Linked DNA regions of Drosophila melanogaster. The protein of the gene in region 2 interacts with the protein of the main gene of each other region in a pairwise test. Each region holds a gene or a part of one and is shown on either strand. Other genes may lie near its edges.

Region 1 (4,078 bases), on a different chromosome or scaffold from region 2:
CTTTAAATATTTTAGATATAACTGTAGTTCCATTTCTATAGATATTTTAAGTAGAGGAAATTCTAGAATTTCTAGTTTCCGAGTGATCACTGTAGCTAGACCGTTTCAACCCTCCGATGGGCACACCCTCAAGCTAATCCGGCCATGCTCAACTGCTCGGCCTCACCTTGGATCCGCTGCTCTTGCCATCGCCTCCTTGCCATGGCGTTCGCACATCAAGTATATATTCCGGAACTATATGCCATAGCTGCAGTTTCCTGTTGTTGTTTGTCAACTGATTTAATTTCCTCCTCCTTTTACCGCTTTCTGCTCTGATCACCGCCTCCTGCTGCGAGAGGGCGTTCTCCGCTTTTGGCCACACAAACAAGACCGCCGGATAATGACGATGGTAATGATGATGGCGATGTTCAGACGATGGCGACTTGCAAAAGGGCAAATAACGGTGTAAATGAGAGTGTTGCTACTCGAAATCTTCGACCCCATGCGGCTACTTTGTGTGCAAGAGTGTGCCGCTGTGTGGAAATCGCTCATTAAAATATGAAAACCCGATTTGCATACATAAATGCTCTAATTCTCTTTACGTTCAATTTTAGGGCTTAAGAAAAATTCTTTAAAATTAAAATGAATATCGATATAGATAATGTAATGTTAATTTGACTCTAGATATAAAACTTCAAATAACCAAAGTTGGAGATGCAGACCTGTTTGCATTGTTAGATCATAAATAATGCCAAAAGTTCTCTGCAAACATTACGCAAAGTGGGGGGCGTGGGAGTGGGCGTGTGGCATGTGGGTGGGCGGCCAACTGCTTTGGCCATAAACAAGCCCAAACAATGCCAGACATTTCAAACACAATAAATAATTGAAGCCAGCGCAGAGTCAACAAGTCAAACACATTGCGGTAACACTGGCGATTGTTGCCAAGCGCTTTTGGCCACACCACAAAGTCCAGCTTTTCAGTCCGATCTAGATATAAATCAACTTGGCCATGCACATGCAGAACGCAAATCCAGCTAAAAGGCAAACAAACGGCTTTACAACTTTACAACTTGAAGAGGGGAGTGAAAAGTTAACAACGCTCATTTGGCGAATTTCCCAAGATATGTTCGGATTTTCAGCAGAGGGCGACCGCCCAGTTATCCATCACAATCGACAGTTTCCACGGGCTTTTCACACTGGAAAAATCAAAAAGACAATAAAGACGAGGCTTTTGCCAATTTCTTCCACAGGGTGTTGTAGTTACTTTCTATTTCTGTTTTTTAGCTTAGGCCAACATTATTGGCATACAATACTATTATTCAATCTATTTTATATCCCGTTTTATTTGTATTTTCCATACATTTTCCTTTTTTCCTACTCTTAAACTAAACTATTGCCATTAAAATTGCATCATGCTCTGCAGAACTAATTGGTAATTCCTGGTTTCGATAGATCCCCTCCCAGATGAGGATACCTCTGCGCTGAGGCTGGATTACAGCTGAAAAACTTTTGAAATAATTAAAAAATATTTTCGTCTTGGGCTTGGGCCTGGTGCAGGCAGAAACGGTGGAACTAAGTGCATATAGCATATATTCGTATATATAGAAAGCAAAAGTTGGCGCTCCAAGCGAAAGAGATCGAAACTGGTAAAACGACTTGGCAACACGACCGCGATACCAATACTCGCCCAAAGTTGACTTATTGGAGCACTTAGCTCGATTCTTGTTATTGTTACGCCGACTTGGCCGACTTGTTGTTGCCGTTAACGTTAATAGTACCAACACAATTACATAGCTTGGAGTGCCTAGGCGGAGTCGATCGGCGATCCAGCGATCCAAGGTTCCCGCTCGGACTATAAAAAGCTTGGGCGGCACCGTTGCGGAAGGCAGTTAACTCCACAAATCCGTTGCCGTCGGTCCCATTTCCCTCTTAACCGACTTGTAAGCGTAAAGGCGCGTGTGAATCCCCCTCGAGAAGAAGATAAAATTGTGTGCAGTTTACGCTTGACAAGGATATTCCCCACACCAAAATGTTCAGATTTGTGAGTTGTGTTTTATTCAAGGCTGTTCGAACAATTTAAAAGCTATTAAGAGAAAAGTAATCAAACTGACGGACAAAAGTGTCAATTCAAACCAGGATATTCTAGAGTACACATTAAATAGTGAAAGTCTTACCTTATAATACGTTAAGTGATAATGACTCAGATTAAGGAATTGGCAGCACACAAATACTTGATTGTACAATAAATTTTGAATTCTTGACAGCTTGCACTGACCACCTTGGTGGCCCTGGCTTCCAGCCAGCACTATCACCAGGATCCCAAAACGGCGGCCATCATCAGTGAGCAGCGTTATCTGTCCGGAGATGGAAAGTTCGGAGCTGCCTATGAGCAGGAGGATGGCATCAACTTCAAGGAGGAGACGGATGCGGATGGAACACGTCATGGCAGCTACAGCTATCTGGATCCCACGGGCCAGAGGCGTACTATTTCGTACACAGCTGGCAAAAATGGGTAAGCACTTTCTATAGAACAAATACCCGAACTTGTATTAATTTGGTTTTTATTCCGAAATAGTTTCCAAGCTTCTGGAGATCACTTGCCCCAGGCACCACCTGCTCCACCACAGCCCGTGCCCACAGCGGGATATCAGCCACAGCAGCAGTACCAGCCGCAGCAGTACCAGGCTCCCGCTCCCCAGCCGCAGGCCAGTTTCCGCAGCAATGACTACGGAGATGATGGTTCCTACGATCCCCGCTACAACGATCCCTCTTTCGGACAGAACCAGCAGAGCTACCAGCAGCCCGCTGCCCAGCCGCAGTACCGTCCTGCTCCCCAGCCCGCCTACAACCCACAGCCCGTGCAGCCGCAGCAGCAGTACCAGCCTCAGTATCAGCAGCCCCAACCCCAGTATCAGCAGCCGCAACCCCAGCAGGCGTACTACACCACCACCACCCCCAACCCACACCGCTTTTCGCCACCCGGCAAACTGTCCCTGAACCGCACGCCCGATGGCTTCACCTACTCCTTCAACAAGGTATAAGCCCCACTGTCCTCCACTCAGACATTATGCATCTTCTTCATTAGTAGGGATCCTCTTTCTTCTTTTCCAACTTTCCCTATCACAACTAGAACCCCTACTCTTTTCTTGACTCCATCAAACTCTCGTGTGATATGTTTAAGAGCAATTGTATCGTACTTCCTATATGCGTACTGTTTGTTATTAATTTATAATCCTACACAGAGAAAATTAATCGCTGCTGCCCAATGGGTATTGCTGATTTAAATTACAAAATATATTCAAAATATCATTTGCATATTTTTGAAATATGAAAAAACTCAAGAAATGTCGGCCTTTTTCTCTGTGACTTTCCCATTAAACTTTAATCTTTCCATTTAAGTCTTCCCAAGAAAAGAGAAGTCAATAAACTTCGATGATGTTGAAAAATGATCAAAATTAATTTAGAAACTATGTTAATTTGGGCCTTGGGACGTCTGAGCAATTTGTACTATAATCGAGTAAAAACAATATATGAAGGAAACCAAGTTCGTGTCCTGCAGTCTTTTGTTTTTCGGCCAGTGGCCGCTTATTTAATTTCCAGCAGATTTATCTAAACACCTCGGGTGGTGAACGCCCACTAAATGCGGCATTACACAACCGACTTTCGTACGTGCAAAACAAGTTTCGAGTTTCTGTTACGATTCTATGCGGCCAACAAGGAAAGACCTCAAACGGGTTTCGCTCATTTGACAGTAATCTTGGCCAATTGTGCAAAATTCCGATGAAAATGAAATCAGCCTGGTGTGCTGGTGCTGGCTAAGCCGGAAAACCATGTGCAAGTGGGGGTGGCACTGGTTCATTAGGGGATTGGGGCTCTAAATCAATTCCCAATGGTATTGCGATCCGTCAGGCTCCAGTTGCGTTAGTGCAACTTAATAACATCCAAATGTTTTGCATATTTTATGCACCATCGAACGCAAGAATGCCGCCAGCTAATTTGCTATTTCCTCTCACCTGCTGAGTTCTCAGCATATGTGTGTTATAGTTTACAACTTAATTCGAGCACCGATTGCTATTCTATTATTTAATTGCACTTATAC
Region 2 (5,270 bases):
GGCGAGACACAGGCATTTGCATAATGGAGATGATTTGGTGAAGAAGAGGGTTTGGGGAGCCGCCAGAAACCACAATTATGCAATTTCCTGGCCGTCTCTAAGCACTTAATTATGGTTATTAAAAATTTGGCAAATAGTTTCTTCGCCTTTGTGCGCCCGATCATTTGCACATAGTTAGCTTGAAGCCAGACGCATGTGAAACATCGGAATTGGCCATATCATTATGGTTAAAATAAATTGTATATTTACATACATACATACATATATGCATGTTCGGATGTGGCGTGCCAGCTCTTAGCCAGATTTGCAAATCGGCAACGAGTTGAACGAACGATGGTAGCAATATTTTGACCATCATCATCATTCAAGAGATGACAAACTGCTAAATATTGAAGCAAAAACGTGGAAAAAATAAAAGAAGTGAAGAGAAAGGCAGCCATATGAACCACATTGAATGATTAACACTCTTTAATAGCATTAATGTCTTCATTTGTTTAATTTACTAATTGATTTCGCCAAACAAAACGCTGTATTTTAATGCTTATTGGCTAGTAACCAGAATAACTTGGCTTTGGCTTGGCCAGTAAGTAATAAAAGCCAACAAATGGTAAATAATAGATGGTGGTATCATATCGGACAGTGAATAAGGTCAGTTATAGTTTATTCAGTAGGGGTTTTAGTAAGCGATCAAACTAGTACCCAAAATGAATTAATAAAGGCAAGATAGCAAAGGAAAGAGGTTAGTATTTGCTGGTCAAACCGCCCGTTTTGAGGTCAAACCAAACCCCCTTGAGGGAGTTGGGGTAAATAGTTTTGCTTGCACTTAAACGAAATCAATGCGATTAAAATCGACTTGGCCCAGTCTTGCGGACGGCCAACTGAACTAGCCTTATCAACCATCGAGAATCGGTGTCAGCTAATCGAGCACCCACAACTACAACAACAAACCGCTGTCCCCAATAGTGGAGCACCACTTGGTCATTCCGACCACGTCGCATGGAAATGGAAAACGAGACGAAAACAGAAATGGAAACGGAAAACAAACCTAGAAGCCGAAACCAAAACAGAATAAGAAGCAGCGCCACTCCAAACATGGTCAACGAAATTTGTTTTGTGTTTTGTCACTTTCTCAGCCCAGAACCAAAGAAACACAAACGCGTCATATGGGTGCGCCCTTCAGAAAAATGTGCACAATAATGGGCAAAAGTGTACATGGCTTATAAAGTATTATTCTTACAAATACTGTGACTATAAATCGGATTTAATAACAACTAATCAATTCAATGGACAACTCAGCATTTGCATTATATTAAACCTCTAATGTGAACGCGCTTATGATATTCAAAGTTCAAAGTGTTATTTAGTCAAATAAGGTAATATGTCTGCTAGTAATTTGCCCCCTGCTGTAGTAACTATGTACGTCATTTGCAGGGGTTCTGAACCCAACCCATAGCAGTGGTTCACGTTACACTCGAGCACGTTCTTATCGCAATTAATTGCAGCGCATTGCATAAGCATCGCAAACTTATAGGGTGATACCAAAACGTAAACATAATCTCTGACTCAGCCCAGTGGGTAGCAATTATTAATTATAATTAATAAGCCAAAAGCCAAGGCAAGTCTTGCTTTGATTGGCCAAAAACGCAGCCAGAAGCGGAAAACAAAAACTGAGTCGAATTACACCACAGTTCAAGGGATACAAAAGGGAGTGGGCTGGGGGTCGATATCTGGCTAAGATCGGTGAGCTTACCCAGCCGGATCGGCACTGGAGCGCATCTGAGTGTGTCCACGTCAGCGGGCATCCAAAACAGAGCAGAAATCTTGAGATCCGAGTAATCTAGATATTGTCCTTCAAGTCAGTATTGTGCCACTCAACTGATCAACTTAAGTAGCTTGGAAATTTACATCAAATTATGACAAGTTGTTAGAAAAGTAGTATATACATATTCCTTGGCACGGGCCTTAAAGTAATATACATTTCTTTCTTATAAAATGTTTAATTTTATTACTTGATTTACTTGCAGTTGCATCTGAAGTGCAAGAAGGAAACAAATTAAATATTCACTAGGGCGGAATACTAAGGAAAACTCAAGCCACACACTGAGGAAATCAAAGTAGGAACAACTAAAACTGTAAGTAGTAACGCAAGGAAAATAAGGGAAATTGGGAAAAGGGAAAACAAGCAACATCAACATCTGCAAATCATATGCAGAGCGTCACTCGCATATGGATATGAGATTTCAGATTTTCGTGACCATATCCGGTTGCCAGTCAGCAGTTGCAACTGCAATTGCAGCTTCCATCAAAACAATAGCAAAAACCAAAAGACGAAATGCGGAGCGAACTGAAAACGCAACTTGGGTCTTTTGGGGCCCAGGGAAATCGCATCTTGGCATTCGCCATTGTTGCTATGGGGATTTTTTTCTTTTTTGGCGGGGGGTGTACAATAAATATAGGGTGGAAGTTGCGTAAAACGATGATATGATATTCACACATAGATCGGGCGATAACATCAATAACTAAAGATGATGTGGAAATCAGAAGGTTCAAATGATGTGCCTATAAGGTTACATACATAAATAAATAGATAAATACATACTCTTACATACATACAAAGGTTGTTTTCTAGTCTAGCAAATGATGTTTTAAATAAGAGAAATGTATTTGTAAGAGTACATAACTTGTATCATAAATTAATAATATTATTAAGACTCAACAATGGTTTGGTCTAAAATAATCCACCATTTGATTCAGTGTTTTGAATCCAAATTAAGTTAAGTTTGTTTTTGTTTTGATTTATATCCAGTGTTGAATAAGCTTTTCATGTACTGTGTGTGTGTGTGTGTGTGTGCATATGTTTATGTTCATCTTATCTTGTTTATCTAGCATTGTATAATTAGGTTTAGATTTTGTTAGAATAAGTTTAGATACATCCAGTGCTGTATAATGTTCCAATAACTACATATTTATCTAGTATTGCATAATTCATTTTAGTGTTTAAATAAGTTTAGATAAATCCAGTATTGTTTAATTTGCTGATGAACTTAGCAGTGATTGGCCGAAAGTGGGAAACCTAACCTCATGTTCTAGAAAAAGAATCGCCAACAAATTTCAAGTAAGCAGTGCCTTCTGTCAACTCGAATGTCATTTGGAATTGCCTGAGCTCTATTCAGTTTCGTATACCTCCGGATTACACGTACTAACGTTTGAAAAAAAAAAAACTAAAATTCCAATCAAAATGCCACACAAAAAATTTCCCAGAATGTCACAGGCGCAACTCAAACGTTTGATCAAATCACAAAATCAGAACATAGCAAAGGCCGCGTGTATTTTGGAACCCCCAAAAATTATACAGCAGCCGTCGATGAGGCAGTCCATCATTCCACCGAATCCTGCTTATAGCAAGAAACAGGGCAAAAATGCGGCTCGCCCAAATTCCGAGCGAGCTGGAAAGGTGCCAATGCAGGGGCTGAACCACGTGGTGCCGGAGGACACTGTGAAACAGGTGAAGCAATAAGTATAGTGCAAAAAGCGGGCTTATCGCATAAAATAGTACTTTCAGCATAATCAATCTAAGCAGATGCAACGCAATCGAAGGAATCCATCGTCGAAGATGCAACAAAATGGCAATGAAGCATCCAAGCAGGAGAAGCCCAATCAGCACGAGGACAAGAGCCGTCCCAAGCAGTTGTATTCAAGCGTTGTGGCCAATAAGCAAGACGGGCCCACCGCAGTGAATGCTCCTCCACCCAAGGAGGGCTCATCTGTCAATCAAATTGGATCGTGTTGTCATCATGGCAATGTTTCGGGCGAAAAGCAGAAATGTCCGGATACCAGCTCATCATCCGCCACGTTCACTTGGCCCAGTCAATCGGTTAAAAGCCAGGGGTTTTTCGGAACTAGCGATTCTTCAGCTGACCCATTCAGCATGCAGAATCTGAAGAAGATTGCCCGGGATTTCTTCTCATATCCGGAGTTTCATCCACCGGAGGCCAGCGAAAACATTGCCGCTGCCAATGGCTCCAAGAAAGCTGAGCCCTCGAGGACGAAATCCCAGCCGGGTCTCAACTCTTCGCCGAGAGGCTCTGCCTTGGGTGCCGATAGGTCGGGCCATCCTCAATCGATTGCGGGTGGAACGAATTCTCGCCGGAAGGATTATCCATTGGAGGAGGCCTTCATGACCGTAATCCGCAATCTGCGCGAAAATTATCCGGGCAATGATTCGATTTCATCTTCAAATCGCCCGAATATCCAATTTGATAACTACCAATCGGCGCAAGGTTTCGGCTATGGTTCCAATTCCTATTACAACGCTCAATCGACATCCGCTTACGGCTATCCTCCGACTGGTTTTCCGATGTCCCAGCAGTCAGGCTTCATGCCAAAGTATAACCAAATGCCGACGGCTAATGGTTCAAATTTAAATCAACCGCCATTGATTAGCGAAACTTATCAGGCCGAAGCGCAGCAGCATCCTTGCTGGCCGGTATATATTCCGGAATATGTTTCGCATTTTATGTTCGGTGAGCCACAGGACGCCAATGCCAGCTGCTCTCGTAATTCAAACCACGGCAACAAGATGTAAAATAGAATCCGGAGGGAAATCGGAATAGTGTAGCATTTAAAAATCTATTCATCATTCAACACCATTCGAAAAAAATTGCTAATGTAATACACAGACCAATTCCGTAATCCTAATCATTTATTTTGCATCTATGTATTAATAAACATTTGTAATGTTACAAATATTTTCCATATATTTGTAAGCCAATTACACTTAACCATCTTTTGTAATGATGCAATCCGAAGATAAACAAAAAATGTATGCATCTCAACTACCTCAATTAGAATTTAAGTAAAATGTGTAATGATGATGATGTATAAAGAAATGCCATCAAATTTCACTTTCAACTCGGCGGAAGAAAGTGAAAAACATGCGAAAAAAGAAATTAATGAAAAAATCGAGCAGCTTACCAACAATTGAAATAAAGGAAAAAATCAACTAGTCAGCGTCGATTGTTTGGTGGTCAGTTGTTTGGTTTTCTACTATTACCAAACCAATGCCAACAAAAGAAATTTTTTTCTTTTTTCTTTTTTGGCCAAGTAAAATAAGAAATCAAATAAGATGAATCTTGCCTTATAAAATGTGAAATTTTCCTGCCATTATGATTAGAATTTGGGCTTAAGCTCATTATCTAATCAAAGATATTGATAACACCTGCGAAAAAGCAATTGAAGAAACTTACGATTGATTGATATACTTAATGTGA
Region 3 (3,472 bases), on a different chromosome or scaffold from region 2:
TATGTATCGTTATTTTAAGTTAGGCTGCCTAGTTATAGAATATATTCCCTATAAATCCTAAAAGAACTCGAACCAAAGTAAGTCGACTTAACTAATCGCTAAGCAAAGTACATATATCGACACCTTTGCTTATCGAGCCCACAGTCATGCCCCTTCATTTGGGATTCACTCCAGATGTTTTCAGTTTGGGGTTTTAATAAGAATCGCCTACCGGATCTCAACTGGTTATGTTACTCAGAACATTGTTATTGAAAATAAGAACAGTACAAATTATCATTTTAACAGCTTGGTGACAAATTCTGGCTTTATGCCTTTTCCGATTTTTAAATTCACGCTTTTTGCCAATCAGTTTCAAAGCTAATTCTCTTTAAACCAGAATTGGCAATCGGGTTTGTGGCCGTGATAATTATTCGAAATGTTAAAGTTGCCTTTTCGACAGGCTCTATTAAAATCTAGGGCAGATTTAAGTTATTCAAAATATTGTCAGCAAGCAAATTAAAACGAATCAGCTGTTTTACCGATACGAATTAAGGCCAAAAACGTTTATTGACAGTAATTTCTGATGGAATCTGGAGACGGTTTCAAAAAGGCTTAAAGACAATTCCCACTGAGGAGTGAACACCGCTTAATTCTGATGTTGTATGTGACAGCCAAATCACAAATCTATTCCATTTCCATTGAAAATATACGATATATGATAAATAACCTGCTCAAGTTCCTTGAGAGAATAAATGTGTTACATATTACCGACTAATTTGATATCAGCTGCATTCCTAAGTGTAAATGGATAAAACTCTAGATAATGAAGATACATGTACTCTAATAAGTACAAAGTGTGCACATTATATACTTGAGCATATTTTGTTTTTGGTGTACCTTTGTTGTGAATTCGGTTTACGGTCCAGGTAGAGACCACATTACCATATTGTACTGAACGTGCTAAACAACTAAGTAAATCGAAGGTGGTAAACGGGTAGGACGGGTTCGAAACCGTTACAGTTGTTTGCCAAATTCAAAGTCAAGGTTGCAAACTGGTTTCTGCCGTTAACAATTGCGTGTATTTTACAAACAGTACGATTACTTAAGCTAATAGTTCGAAAGGTCTTCGGGGAACAGTCCGTAGTGCGATCCGCTTTCATAGAGGTTCTAGTGATGACGGGGGTGCTCGGGTGCTGGTGGGTGGGACTCCAGCCAGGCGACGGCGCGGGCGATGGCCTCTGGGATTGGAGGAGGAGTGGGGATCCAGGCTCCCGAGGGCTGGTATCCGTTCTCATTGGCGACGTACTTAACCTCGACGTGCTCGCCCTCGGGTGAGATCCAGCCGAAGTTGCCGTGGATGTTGCCATGGGCATCACCGCTGGCGGCCTGCTCGATTCCGTTGGAGGTGTGCAGGCTGGAATCGAATCCATCGGCACGAACATCATCGGATTGGGAAAGGACATCGGCGTGGACATCCTCCGAACGGCCTAGGGAATGGGGCACCGGGGGGTTGGCCACCGCCAGGCCCAAAACTGCGCAGATCATGACCTGAAGGAGAAATAGGCATTCGTTAGGGATCGAGTATGTTGGTTCGTATCCTGCGGACACTTACAAACTTGAACATATTGGCTGACTTCTGTCTGGTCGAGAACGAACGTTGACTGATAACTGATTGTGGTCGGGCAGAGCCTTTTTATATGATTGCCACCCAAAGTGAACCCATATCAAAACGCTACATCTTGCATTCAATTGGTTCGCTGAGTTATGGGTTGACTTCGCGGATGCGCCCACACCCATTAAAAAGCATCGTCACATGCGACAGCTTAGCAAATGCCAAACAACGGGATAAGTACTATATATAATCGCTTAATAGATGCTAAAATGAAACAATCGCATCAATAAGGGGCAAACGGGTCGGGTGGCATCCCGAAATCGAAACGAGTTTGACCCGCCCCTTCATTAAATCCCCTCCTTTGAGCTTGACTTGGCATTGCCAGGCCGTGAACCACTTTTGTAGTCCCATCAAGACTCCATGGACTACAAAGCATCGCCGACTTCTTAGACTCGATGTTTTGTAATATATAAACGTGTGTCTCTACCTTGGCACCATTTCTTCTTTTTTTTATCAATTCCTCTCGACGAACAGGTTGCAGTTTGCTTTTAAACAAATTCAAGTGTGTTTTACATTATATTTCATATGCATAGCGCCTTATATTATTTTTTTATATTTCGTAAAATTAAATAAGATAATAAGACCTGTTCCATATAGGAGGCTACCGAAATACATAGTTTTTTAGTGACAATTAAAATTGTTAAGAAAACCTAATGTTAACCTAAAGAGGATATTTACTTGTCTGTATAGGCATATAAACTAAAAGTTTACTTAAAATTTATAATTCCTATAGATACATTTCATGGTATTTAAATGTGCAAGCCGAACATCTAATATAAGAGCTTGAATAGTTTGTTTTTCAGATCAGTTAGACCGCACAGTATCCTCACAAATTTGGTTTGAAAGTTAAGATTAATTTGTAATCAAACAGAATAGCCTCTTCTGAGATTTATGCTAGTGACTATCGCACCTTTAACAATCCAAGCTTCTAATATTAACTGTTGTGACGAAAATAGAGTTTTTATTCAACTAAGACAATACAATATCTAAAAGTTACTCGTTCGGGACGCTTTATGACATTATTTATTTGAGGTGCATTTGCAGACAGACAAACAACCAAACAAATTCCCAGTCTTATTTTAAAAAGAGAGAATGCTATACTCAGCTGGAAGTGTGACCGATATATTTCAATACTTTTTTGAATATCGGTAAAAATTTGGAAACAAATAATAATATGAAAAAAATTATTGAATTGTTCAAAACGTGTGGGCGTGGCAGTTTTAGGCCGTTTGTGGGCCTCTGGAATCTTCATATCTAATCTTAACTCTCTAGTTTTTGAAGTCGAGGCGTTCATACGGACATACTCTGCTATTGATCGCTTTTAAAAATATATATACTTTATATGGTGTGAAACGCCTCCTTCTACCTGTTACATAATTTTCCTAGTATTCCATTTTACTTTCGAGTAACGGGTATTATCATTTCAGTTTATCTTCGTATGTTTTTATCTCATTATCTTCTTAGATTATTTTACGGTTCAATCTCTTTACTTTTTATGCTGCCTTTCTATTGGTTATCACACAATATAATAAGACAACTACAGCAGATAGAAGTTGTCTTTGTACTCTCTGGTGCGCTTCGTCACTACGTGGAATGCCGTTCATGGTGATTCTTCTCTCTTTTTGAAACCATTTACTTATGTCGGGTAAAAAACTTTATTGAATAATATATAACATGTCGATGGAAAGTCGGTGGATGGGTCTGAGATCGGGGTGAAGAGTCTTGGTGATGGTGCGGATGCTCGGGTACCGGTCAGTGGAACGCCTTCGGGATTGGTGCAGGAGTCGGAATCAAGGCTGATCGAAGCCTGGTATCCGTTCT
Region 4 (3,906 bases), on a different chromosome or scaffold from region 2:
GGCAAAGGTCACACTCGCAGCGCACAGACAAGAGTTGCTGATTAATTGATTTTATATCGAGCGCAATTTCCCGCGGCGCCTTGTGGCTGTTTTTCCGATTGAGTCGACGAAATATACGGAATCGGAAGCCACTGCAAGGGATGCCGTGCAATTTATCAGCCAACTTCCAATTAACACTTGCCTGGCCTTTTCCACACCCAACGTCTCCAGGTTACGAAGTTCGATCCTCTCGATTTTCCGTCAGTGAGGGGCGAAGAGATATGGGAATGGCAGTATAATCTGTGCACTTTACTGACTACTTTAACACGAGGACCAGTTCCAATTAGCTTAATTAATGTCGCTGTTGTTCCCAAGTTTTATGGCAGAGTAAAGTTGCCAGAAACAGTAACAAATAAAATTAAGTTTTTAAGAGGTAAAATAAAGTGCAATAAAAGCAATGCAAAAAGCTATTAAAAGAGAAAAACTGCTATCCATGCATATACAGTGTATGTGGACTACCAATTTACATATTGAAATATTCCATTTATCAGCGACAGTAGCCCCAATTATTTAGCCTCTCCTTCTGTATGAATATGAAACGTTTATTTGCTTAGCTTAGATAACAACAATAGCGACCAAAGTCGTTAGTTTATGTACAAAACACCAATACCAAATACGAAGAGCACTCGAGGGTCCAAAGAGCGACCCATTCTCGGTTATTGCCAATCTAACTGCAATGGCATATTCAGTTTTTCAGCTTTCAATTCGGATTGGCTTGTGGAGGACGAGTGGTGGCCAAAATGGGGTGTTAACATGGTTACCAACAGCCCTGCATCAGACCCAGCTGCTGAATGGCTCCGCATCCAACGCGGTTCTGCATGTAATCCGGAAAATTGCTCTGCAGGACTCGCATCGTGTTCCGCTTGTAATCGGGCACAGCATGGGTCACCAGCTGGCAGGTCTGACTGCGGTAAACCGGCTTGAAGTTGGCCTCCACGAATGTGGAGTTCGTGTCCCAGCGGTACACCTCCGCGTCGCCCTCGTTGCGGAAGAAGATCGCCGAGCCGTTGTCCGTGCCGATGATGACCATGCGACTGGGCTTCTTGCCGAGATCTGAATATTATGATAACTTAATAAATGTTTTCTTTGAAATTCGAAATATATAACTCACCCAAGATGCGTCCATCGGCCACTCCACTCCTCAGATACTCTGACTTCAGGGAGAACAGTTTGTTGGTGCTCAGGTAGGTGAAGTACAGTTCCGTTGAGCCGCAGTCCCGGCGGATGAGGGCTATGTAGAGGACATCCCTCGACCGACAGCCGGCGGTAACGGCCTTGGGCAGCACCACCCTGAATCCCCGATCCGCCTGGAGATTGTACACGATGATGGCCCGATTGGCGGCATCGCTGACGTAGACAAAGCAGCCGCCATCCGGAGCATAGTCCACTACCAGATATTGGAGACGGGAATTGCTGGAAGTCAGGCCCTCCAGCGAGACGGTCTTCAGAACCTTGCCAGTCTTCACCGACATGGCCACCACTTTTGGTGGGCACTTGCGCACCGGAGTCTCCAGAGTGTTCACTATGCCCGTGTCCAAGACCCAGAGCACCTCGTTTTGGTCTACCACCAGATCCACCACCGATTGCAGAGCCTTGCAGTTGCCCTCCTCCTGGAGGTCCCAGCAGGGATAGGGCTTAAAGGTGGTGGAGCAGGTGCCCGGCTTGATACTGGTCTTCACCAGCGTGGCCGGAACTCCCTTCCTGTAGCGCGGCAGAGCCAGATAGATGGTGTCTCCAATGAGCTGCGCCCGCGTGGCAATCACATTCTTGGGTATAAACTTTCCGGAGCTCTTGAAGAGCGACTTGGTACTGGCGCATGGGAACTCGAATTGCCCGCCCGTCCACTGGATGGGCTGAGAATCGGAGTGCGCCCGATCCGGAGTCCACAGTCCGTACTTGGTGCCCTGCGAGCGGGCCCAGCCAACTAGGCAAAATCCAAGGATCAGGGCCAAGTGCAGTCTCATCGTGGAAGCAATTGTTAATGGTGCGGCAGCGACGTGCGCGTTCTGCTCCCCAAATTGGCCAAGTGGCGTGCTTATATAACCCAACAGCCCATAGAATTTGACCACAAGACGGCAACGTGCCTCGCACCCAATTCTTAGCTTTTAAACTGATTTTTTGCGAACTTTATGACCTTGGCAAGAGTTAACCAGTAAACGATGGTAAAAACTAATGACATTTATGACTGAAATTAAATCATTAACTTGTGCTATTAATATGAACTTGTATACATTAATTGAATAGTTTCAATTCCATTACATAACTAAAAGCCAGCCATTCCCAGGACAGAAGCCAGGGAAGTTTTCGAATGGAGCCAAAGGACCAAGGCGAAGGACACATTCCTCCCGCAATTATCCAATCGACCATAAAAATGGCATTGCAATTATTGCAGTCAATTGAAAACGGAACCCCAACAAGTGTCTCCAGATTGGTGGCGATATTTTTAGCTAATTAATTGCGGGCAACAAAATGACCTCAATCTGAGATTTTGCCAGCCATAAGTTGGCCCATAAAGAGTGATTGAAGGAGTGAAAGAAAAATCTCAGCATCCCCGGGATTTCCCTGCAGAATTCCTGGGCCATTTCGCCATTTCCATCACCATAATTGCCCCTAAATAGGTTAAGGCCCTCGATACGGGCAGACAACCCGGAATCGCCCCAAACCAAAACCAACGTGTTTGGCATGTTAAATTGTCAGCCGAAACCCGCATTCCGGTTGGCTTTTTCCCCACCCACCAGAATGATTTATACGAGACAAGCGCACATATATACATATACATACATAGATGGAGCGCAAAAAATTGATGACAAGCATTTCCGGGCTGCTCATCTGACATAATTTATGTAAACACTTACCTCCCAGCAACAAAAAAGTTTTGGGGGGTAGATAAGAGACTGCCGGACGACTGCCGACTGACCCCCATTAGCTGGGGAAACTCCACTCACTGCTCGGCAAAACCATGGCCAGACATTCCGCAGGACGTTCTCCACACATTACATTGACAGTTCTTGTTTATGGCCCGTTAACGGGGCGTATGCGTCATCTGCAAAGTCGGGGGATTATGTGCGACTTCTTTAAAACGCGCTGCGCAACAAAGCAAAGTTCAACTTTTTATATGTGTGCCAATAAAAATCCAATTGAAAACGCAAATAAGCCAATAATTTGTCGTTCTTTTTTTTTGTCCCGCAGCAGCGGAAAAATGTACAAAAAAAAAATTGTCTGTGGTCACGTTTGATTTGTTTTGGTAAATGGGCCAAATGAGGTTTATGCTTTTTTAACTTTGTGCTGAGGAAAGCGATTTTCTTTACCGGGAATTTCACATAAATTCAGACCAACCTTTTCTGGAAATGCTGAACTCCAGGGTGGATTAATAACGTCATTTAAAATAGTATTTTTATGATAGTTATAGTTAACTAGCTATAGGTAATATATAGGTAATTTGATTTAAATTGGTTATCACAGAAAGTTTTCAGGGGCTTACAGTTGTAGTACAGGGTATTAAAAAGTCATCAGCTGCGCTTAAAGTTAATCTTCCCATAATTTTTTGGCCGCTCGCCTAATTTATGTGCTTTGCTTTCACTTTGCTGGCTTTCTTTCGTCGGCCAAGTTTTGTTTACGTCTGCTTAAAGTTGTCCACATTGGCTCTCAACCTTTTGCAATCGCCATAAATTATTGCCTTTATCCAGTGGCCCATCTTGGTTTAATTGTTTTGCAATAATTGAATTCATTGAATTCATCCGACAAATTGCTCTTGGCAACCCGCTGCTACTGTGTGTGCATATGAAACATTCACTTTTTGCACCCAATGTGCTATCAATGAGTTTACATTTGCCATTTAAACGCATCTGTCGATATCAAGGAGAAAAT

Evidence for each region.
Region 1: the proteins of CG12992 (region 2) and Cpr100A interact in a two-hybrid assay, tested with the Drosophila melanogaster proteins (one large-scale study listed by BioGRID).
Region 3: the proteins of CG12992 (region 2) and Lcp1 interact in a two-hybrid assay, tested with the Drosophila melanogaster proteins (one large-scale study listed by BioGRID).
Region 4: the proteins of CG12992 (region 2) and yellow-g2 interact in a two-hybrid assay, tested with the Drosophila melanogaster proteins (one large-scale study listed by BioGRID).

Annotation. Positions count from the first base shown.
Region 1 is NT_033777.3:30,865,664-30,869,741, forward strand, and holds Cpr100A (cuticular protein 100A), read left to right. Parts: upstream 1-1,857; 5' UTR 1,858-2,008; coding exon 2,009-2,020; intron 2,021-2,243; coding exon 2,244-2,491; intron 2,492-2,554; coding exon 2,555-3,020; 3' UTR 3,021-3,521; downstream 3,522-4,078.
Region 2 is NC_004354.4:17,586,964-17,592,233, forward strand, and holds CG12992 (uncharacterized protein), read left to right. Parts: upstream 1-1,901; 5' UTR 1,902-1,967; intron 1,968-2,024; 5' UTR 2,025-2,132; intron 2,133-2,994; exon of another isoform or gene 2,995-3,051; 5' UTR 3,052-3,238; coding exon 3,239-3,505; intron 3,506-3,553; coding exon 3,554-4,585; 3' UTR 4,586-4,743; downstream 4,744-5,270.
Region 3 is NT_033778.4:8,429,599-8,433,070, forward strand, and holds Lcp1 (larval cuticle protein 1), read right to left. Parts: upstream 1,646-3,472; 5' UTR 1,604-1,645; coding exon 1,592-1,603; intron 1,528-1,591; coding exon 1,147-1,527; 3' UTR 517-1,146; downstream 1-516. UniProt on the Drosophila melanogaster protein: Component of the larval cuticle.
Region 4 is NT_037436.4:2,274,695-2,278,600, reverse strand, and holds yellow-g2 (yellow-g2), read right to left. Parts: upstream 2,052-3,906; 5' UTR 2,004-2,051; coding exon 1,151-2,003; intron 1,093-1,150; coding exon 797-1,092; 3' UTR 563-796; downstream 1-562.